Canis lupus familiaris: one gene and its partner. The protein of the gene in region 1 interacts with the protein of each later gene in a biochemical or structural test. Links are inferred from orthologs where the notes say so. Each region holds a gene or a part of one and is shown on either strand. Other genes may lie near its edges.

The links.
Region 2: the proteins of PPFIA1 (region 1) and GIT1 form a complex in vitro, tested with the Homo sapiens proteins (2 studies listed by BioGRID). The link is inferred for Canis lupus familiaris from reciprocal best matches to the Homo sapiens genes PPFIA1 and GIT1.

The regions. Positions count from the first base shown.
Region 1 is NC_049239.1:48,513,547-48,517,451, reverse strand, and holds the start of PPFIA1 (liprin-alpha-1), read left to right. Parts: upstream 1-1,274; 5' UTR 1,275-1,368; intron 1,369-2,636; coding exon 2,637-2,900; intron 2,901-3,905. UniProt on the Homo sapiens protein: May regulate the disassembly of focal adhesions. May localize receptor-like tyrosine phosphatases type 2A at specific sites on the plasma membrane, possibly regulating their interaction with the extracellular environment and their association with substrates.
Region 2 is NC_049230.1:43,647,256-43,651,054, reverse strand, and holds the end of GIT1 (ARF GTPase-activating protein GIT1), read left to right. Parts: intron 1-124; coding exon 125-355; intron 356-445; coding exon 446-499; intron 500-692; coding exon 693-779; intron 780-918; coding exon 919-992; intron 993-1,096; coding exon 1,097-1,279; intron 1,280-1,398; coding exon 1,399-1,462; intron 1,463-1,599; coding exon 1,600-1,812; 3' UTR 1,813-3,004; downstream 3,005-3,799. Other genes in the region: TP53I13 (tumor protein p53-inducible protein 13), read right to left, coding at 3,624-3,736. UniProt on the Homo sapiens protein: GTPase-activating protein for ADP ribosylation factor family members, including ARF1.

The DNA of each region.
Region 1 (3,905 bases):
TCCTCCCGAGCTCTAGAAAGCCATCTCTAGAAACTAGGAGAGGTGGCCTGGGCCATGCTTATGGTTGACAACCAACCACATCATGAGAGAGCTGAGGCTGGTGGGCACATTTGTAAAAACACGACCCTGGCCATAGTACTGGTCTATCTATCCCCTCCCCTCCCACATTCCTGGGTTTTCTTTATCAAGCCTTCGACGGGAGAGTTGGAGCAAAACCATTTTAGGGAAAATGGCTCGTTTTCTTGACTAAGCCTTACAAGGGTGCCACTCCATCTCTAAAACAGGTTTTGGATAAATACTTTGGGGAAATAGTTTAGTTGGGTGGTATAGGTACACAGAAAAGGCATTTTAGCTTCCCAAAAGCTATTTTCCATGATTTATGTTTGCCTAGGTTTTACTAAAGGAACATTTATTGGGGGGGTGGGGGAGGGAGGGGGCTTCCCTAATGATAAAAATAATGTGCATTCATGATGTAGTACCTGGAAAGCACAAAGTAGCCCAAAGAAGGAAATGAATGAGTGAGTATGAATAAGGACGTGAATGGAGCCGCCCCCCGTGGGATCCCACTTGCTCTAGCAGCCCAGGAGTAAGGCCGTGTCGTTTTCACATCATACAGGTGGGGCGCTGAGCGCCGCGGGCTCCGCTGACCTGCCCAGGCCACCGCGCAGGGGCGAGCCTGCACTCCCCACGCCGCGCCCAGGAATCTCCGCATCAAACGGTGCCCACTGGGCATCCGCAGGAATCGCAGGTAAGGGCCCCGCGTAGACGCCGCGACCTTCTGAGTCCTGGAACGGTCGGTCCCGAGGAGGGTCCGACCCCGAGGAGGCAGCCAGCAGGTGTCTCGCGCCGGGGCGCACCCGCCTCGAGGAAGGCGCTGGCTCAGAACCCGACGCACGGTAGACGTTGCCAACGGCCTCTGGGCGGCCGGAGCCGCGGTAGGTGAGCTCCGGCTCGGTGGAGAAGGCCCCTACCTGGGGGGCGGGGCCGGGGGCGGGGCTCCGCCCGCACCTGGCCAATGGGCGCCGGGGGACCCGCCCCGCCCCTCGAGTGGGCGGGGCTTGCGCGCCCGGCCTCCGCGGCGCTCCCCAACCCCCGGGGGGCGGGGCCGGCCGGCGGCGCTCGGCGCTGACGCTGCGCCGACGCGCCCGACGTCGGGCACGTTGACGCCGGCGACGCGCAGCCGGGCCCGCTCCTCCTGCGCTCAGGCAGTGTCCGGCCGCGGGCCGGCCTTGGTGACTGGGGGCTGCGGGCCCGGGGCCGGCGGGCGCGGGCGCGGGCCGCTTTCGTCGGGCCCCGAGCTCGCCCGGAGCGAGCAGCCGCCCGCACGGCGCCGCGGAGCCTCCTCGCCCGCTCCCGCCGGCGAGCAAGGTAAGGAGCGGGAGACTGAGGCAGGCTGGGGCGGAGCGGGGCGGAGCGGGGCCGCGGGCGCCCGGGCGCCGGCCCCTCCCCGCGGCGGCCCCCTCCCCGCGGCGGCGCTCGCTGTCAGCCCCCGGGCGCGGAGGCGGTGGGCCCCGGCGGGGCGCCCCGAGGCCGGGCTCCTGGGGCCGCGGCGCCCCGGGGGCCCCGGGTCAGCCCCGGGTCAGCCCCGGGTCAGCCCCGGGTCAGCCCCGCGCCGGGCTCGGGGGCCGAGGACCTGTGGCCGGGGAAGCCGCGGCCCGGGCTGCGCTCCAGCTGTCAGCGGTGCCCCGCGGTCCGGGGTCCGGGGTCCGGGGCCCGGGGCCCTGCAGCGCGGCGCTGGGCGAGGGGCGAGGAGGTCGCGGCGGTCGCGGCGGTCGCGGCGTCGCCGCCCCCGGGGCTCCAGCCTCCTCCCGCGGCGCCCGCCTGCTGTGGGCCTCGCTGGCGGCGTCTCCTTCTCCCCTTTCCCTTCTCCTCCGTCCTCCTCCCTGTCCTTTCTTCCGTCTTGCTTCCTCCTCCGCTCCCTCCTAGCCGTCCGCGGCCGCACCGACCTGCTCCATGCCCGGTGTGCAAGTTTCCTTTCTAATACTCTTTTCTTTTTTTCCCTCCGGCCGTAAACTTACGTAAGTTGGGTTGCCTGACCGTCACACCTTTTGCAGCCACTGACAAACACCTTTCCCGGCCCTTAACGAATCCGGTGCCTTTGAGCGCTCACCCAGTCCGGCCCGAAGCCGAGGGAGCCGCCAGTCCTCCTCGGGAGCTGACTGCACACATTCCTCCAAGATGCCTGATGCATTTTGTACTTGTCAGTTTTACTGGCTGTATGCTCCTTCTGTGCTTTTCCCGAAACATGATTGGGTGGCATGTGTTTTGACTTTCTCTCCCCGAACCGGGAAATAAAGGGGAAAAAGTAAGTTGCAGAAGCACACTTGTTTTCAACAACCAGAAAGTACAGCTTTGCAGACAAAACGCCCCAGGGTTGGTTCTGTACTCCAGGGGTAGTCTGTGAGGTCTCTACCCTGCCCTGCACTATCCCACGTATTAATCTGTTCCCACACTCAGGATTCGCCTGTGTATGTTTTTTTCCGCTTACTTATACTCAGAGTGTAACAGTCGGATCTGAGAATAACGAGGCTGTCAACCTTCATTTTATGAGCAGCACGGAGAGCTAATAAAGTTGCAGGTTTGTGGGAGCCTTTATTTTGCACTTAATGACTGGAGTCTGGGTGTTTTATTTCAAGATGATGTGCGAGGTGATGCCGACCATCAGTGAAGCAGAAGGCCTGCCAGGAGGAAGTGGGAGCCGTGGGTCCAGCTCTCCTTCGCAGCCAGATGCAGATTCACATTTCGAACAGTTGATGGTGTCCATGCTGGAGGAGAGGGACCGTCTTCTGGACACGCTGAGAGAGACTCAGGAAACGCTGGCATTAACCCAGGGGAAGTTACATGAGGTCGGGCATGAAAGAGATTCCTTGCAGAGGCAGCTCAATACTGCACTTCCACAGGTATGGATGCCTTTCACCTGGAACTTTACAGATCTTTCTTTCCCCTTCTAAATTATGGTGTCACCTTTCATGGTGTTCATGTTTTACATGAGTCTGTGAAATGGTGGTTCTGGTTTTTTTTTTTAATTATTAAAGATTTAATTTCTTTATTCATGAGAGACAGAGAGAAAGAGAGAGAGAGAGAGAGAGAAGCAGGCTCCATGCAGGGAGCCCGAAGTGGGACTCGATCCCAGGTCTCCAGGATCACACCCTGGGCCGAAGGTGGCACTGAACTGCTGAGCCACCTGGGCTGCTTGTGGTTCTGGTGTCTGTAAGTCATGTGCAGAGAGGGTTCCCGAGGGTTGAACCTCTGAGGGAAGACAAGCTGTGGTGCACTATACTTAAACACCTCGTAACTCTTGTTCCTTTCTTCTGCCTTAATTTGGGACAGTGCTCCGAAGTTTTTGGACAAGGGCCATGAGGCATCCAAGCTGCGTGCTGCCTTCCATTCTGTCGTCTTAGGCCTTTCTTGCTCAACCTGTGTTTCTTATGGATTTTATCGCATTTCCCATTTTCTAATGAAATTTAATGGATAGATAGGATTGATTTCACAGGAAAGATAAAGATATTTTTACAGTCCACTTTTCTAAGAACACCTGTGTTTTATAAATGAAGTTTGTTGTGGAGGATATGAGACAGAGATTAATTCCTTCGGAACTTTCTTCTTGGCCGATGAGAATTGTAAGCTTGAAGTGACGCCGAAGCCATTAATCTTAGTATATGACATTTGGACTAGTTTCAAAGCCTCTCCTTGTGGAGCTGAGTGAGGACGTCATGATAGGTGAGGGTAGAGGGTAGAGGAAAGTGTAAGGCGAGTGGCACAGAGCATGCCGGAGACACAGAGGTTACTTGGGTGTTCACAGCCGCCTAGGTGCCACTTGAGTTACCCGTAATAGGCGCCTTTGTGGTCCTTTCAGGTAGGCCTGCATAAGCACATGCTTGTGCTCCCACCGTCGGTCTGCAGTG
Region 2 (3,799 bases), on another chromosome or scaffold:
GTAAGGGCAGCAGGCTTGGTGGGAGTGGGGCTTCTAGCATCCTGGTCCTAGAGGATCCCCTGCCCCCAGAGGTGGGGGTACTCCTGGAGCCTCTGGAGGTTCTGACACCACCGTGCGCTCTCAGATCCACAAGCTGCAGGCAGAGAACTTGCAGATTCGGCAGCCGCCGGGGCCAGTGCCCACACCCCCACTGCCCAGCGACAGAGCAGAACATACATCGATGGGGCCTGGTGGGAGTGCCCACCGCAGGGACCGCCAGGCCTTCTCCATGTATGAACCAGGCTCTGCCCTGAAGCCCTTTGGGGGCCCACCTGGGGACGAGCTTACCACCCGGCTACAGCCTTTCCACAGCACTGTGAGTTGCCTCTGGGTGTCAAGGATTGGGGGAAACAGGGTTGGAGCTGCCATAGGGTCCTCTGTGATGCCTATTGTGCCATCCCCCCAGGAGCTGGAGGATGATGCCATCTATTCAGTACACGTCCCTGCTGGCCTTTACCGGGTAAGCAGGGCTTGGGGGAAGTGGATCCATTTCTGCAGATTGGTTCTTAGTCCCAGTGGGTGCCAGGTTTTGTGCCAGCTGCTGGGCACAGGGATGACTAGATACACGTGTCACCCCCCTCCTCCTTACTGCTGGGAAACTGGAAGACAGGTGGCAGGGAGGAAGAACTGACTCCAGTCCCCCTGGGTTTCAGATCCGGAAGGGGGTGTCAGCCTCAGCTGTGCCCTTCACTCCCTCCTCCCCACTGCTGTCCTGTTCCCAGGAAGGAAGCCGTCACACGGTAACATTCCCATTCCCAGTTCCCATCACTAGTGCCCGAGGGACAGGCTGAATGAGATGTGTGCATGGAAACGGACAGGCCAGGCCATGTGGGTCTATGAACATGTATGTCACCTACTACCCCTTCCCTGATCCTCCAGAGCAAGCTTTCCCGCCACGGCAGCGGTGCTGACAGTGACTATGAGAACACGCAAAGTGGGGACCCGCTGCTTGGGTGAGGCACCCCAGGGAAGAAGGCTGAGTGGGTGCTGGAGTGTCTGGGAGGGTGCAGGCAAGCAGCCTCACCACTGGAATATCTCTTTCTAACCCTGACCTCAGACTGGAAGGGAAGAGGTTTCTTGAGCTGGGCAAGGAAGAAGACTTCCACCCAGAGTTGGAGAGCCTGGACGGAGATCTCGACCCTGGACTTCCCAGCACAGAGGATGTCATCCTGAAGACGGAACAGGTCACCAAGAACATTCAGGAATTGTTGCGGGCTGCCCAAGAATTCAAGCATGACAGGTATGCGGGTGGGATGCAAGGCTCCTAGCAGCCCCTGGGCATTGGAGAGGGTAAGAGGGGGCCACTGTTCCACTGTCGCTGCAAACTCTCCTAATTTTTACCCTCCCCTCCTCCCAAAGCTTTGTGCCCTGCTCAGAGAAGATCCATTTGGCTGTGACTGAGATGGCCTCTCTCTTCCCAAAGGTACTGGGGCCAGAAAGTCTTGGGGTGGGGCAGGTACAGGGAATGTGACTGCTACCTAGGTGGAGATGAGGACACACTGGGCCATGTTCGAGGCTCATTGTTTGAAGTTCAAGGCCCAACTCCTGCCTCCCCTCCAGAGGCCAGCCCTGGAGCCTGTGCGCAGCTCACTGCGGCTGCTCAATGCCAGCGCCTACCGGCTGCAGAGTGAATGCCGGAAGACCGTGCCCCCAGAGCCCGGTGCCCCTGTGGACTTCCAGCTGCTGACTCAGCAGGTGATCCAGTGCGCCTATGACATCGCCAAGGCCGCCAAGCAGCTGGTTACCATCACCACCCGAGAAAAGAAGCAGTGACAACTCTCCCTGCACCCTCACCTGCACCCTGGGACCTCACTGGCCATGGGAGCTGGGCCACTCCAGACACTAATCCCCACCCTCACAGAGCTGCTGGCACAAGTACCCTCAGTGCTGCCACCCTCCCCTGGCAGCCAGGTGCCCCGGTGCCCGCCTTCCTCGAGCCCCCCAAGGATAGGGAGGTGGGGTAGCAGGAGCTTCTGTCCCCCACATTCCACACACCTCCTCCTGTACATAGCATTCCCCTCCCCCCCTTCTAGCGTGCAGGGGCCTGTAAGGTATCACTCCCAGCCCCTGGCCCTCTGGGGCACCCCCAGCAGAGGGTCGGGTAGGGACACTCCAAGTAGGACGGTTCCCCCTACAGGCACCCCACCCCCATGAGCCAGTTCAGCCCTACTGGGGGCTGAACGGGGGCATCTCTTCCTTTGTACATAATCTCTGTGGATGTCCCCCCATCCTGTAGCCACCAGCCCCCCTGCTGCTGTCCTTGAATGCCAAATGGCCCCTGCCGAGATCACTGGCCCCAGCCTGTGTTCCCAGGGTCCCTAGCAGCAAACAAACACTGGAAAATGTTTTTTTTTTCTCTCTCTCTTCCACTCCTTAATTTTAACATTGTGGTAACTGAGTGTCCCTGCGTGCTTGTGTGTGAGTGTGCGGGGCGGCAGTGCCGTTCCGGAGGCCTGGCCCATCTGGAGTTCTATGAAGGGTGAGGGGACCAGAACAGCAGGACCAGTGTTGGGGATCATCCCCCCTTCCCCATCCTGGGGCCAGGGACTGCTGGTAACCAGCTGGGGTCCAACCCATCACCTCCCCTCATCTGTCCCCCCACTCCTACCCCTTTCTCTATGAACTTCTAACAAAAACCACTTCCCTACATTTCTCCACCCCCTCCCTTGTGGAGGAGGATGTGCTGGCTGGGGCAGAGAACTAAGCGTCTGAGCCTGGGGCTGGCTCCCCGGGGTCCCTGACTCAGCTGAGAGCCCCCTTCCCATAACCTCTGAGAGGCCAGCACCTGCCCTGTGGTATCTGGGTATCTGGAATCTGAGCTGCAGCCTGGGAGCTGGAGAGGCAGATGGCAGTGCCTACCAGCTCTCCCTGTCCCCCTGGGGCCAGGCTCTACCTGTGTGGTGGTGGGTGGGCTGTCAAGACATGTGTCATGTACATTTGTATCAAAAATAAATAAGTGACCGTGTGCTCTTGCTGATGCTTACAGAATCGGAGGGAGCAGGGGGTATTGGGGAGGTGGCAGACACAAAAGGGAGAAAAAAACCTGGCAAGAGCATGAAGCAAATGAAGACCACAACTGTTCCAGACCTGAAACTCGAAAGCCCTTGTGTTCTAGAAAAGGAGCTGGGAAATAAGGTTTCAGTCGCTAACGCTGCCTCCCCCTCCCCATCATGGCAGCAGGTCGGGTTCTATCCCACTACTAAAACTGGCCAAGGCCAAGTGGGCAGGTGGAGGCAGGCTGGTGGGGGCCTAATGATTTTTTGGTAAAAGCCCACTTCAATGGCCCGGAACAGGGTCCTAGGTGGGAGTGTCTGTGTGGCAGATGCACCAGCTCAGCCCCAGACTCTACCAAAATAATTTAATTAGAAATACAGGCAAGGGAGGCTGTGGGCCCCTTCCCTCAACCCTCGGTAGCAAGCCACACCGGAGGCGGAGGGACAAGCCCCTTTGCGATGCTTAGGCGGGAAGCGCTCCGGCCGGCCGCCAGGGGGCGGTCCCGCGCAGGGTCCACGTGGCAGAGGTCGCGGCCTCCTGGGCAAAGGTCCCCTTCACCACCACCACTGCAGTGGCAGGGCTGGGGCAGGTCAGTCGGAGCTGTCCCCGTCTGGGCCGCTGTCCGGCGAGGGCGGGAGAAGGGGTCTCCGGCGGGAGCGCTTGAGCCGGCGTGGGGGCAAGAGCAGCCTCCGCTTCAGCACAGCTGTGGGCGGGGTGGGGCGATCAGGGAATGGCAGGAGTGCCGGGGAGGTGCCGGGCCCCCGAC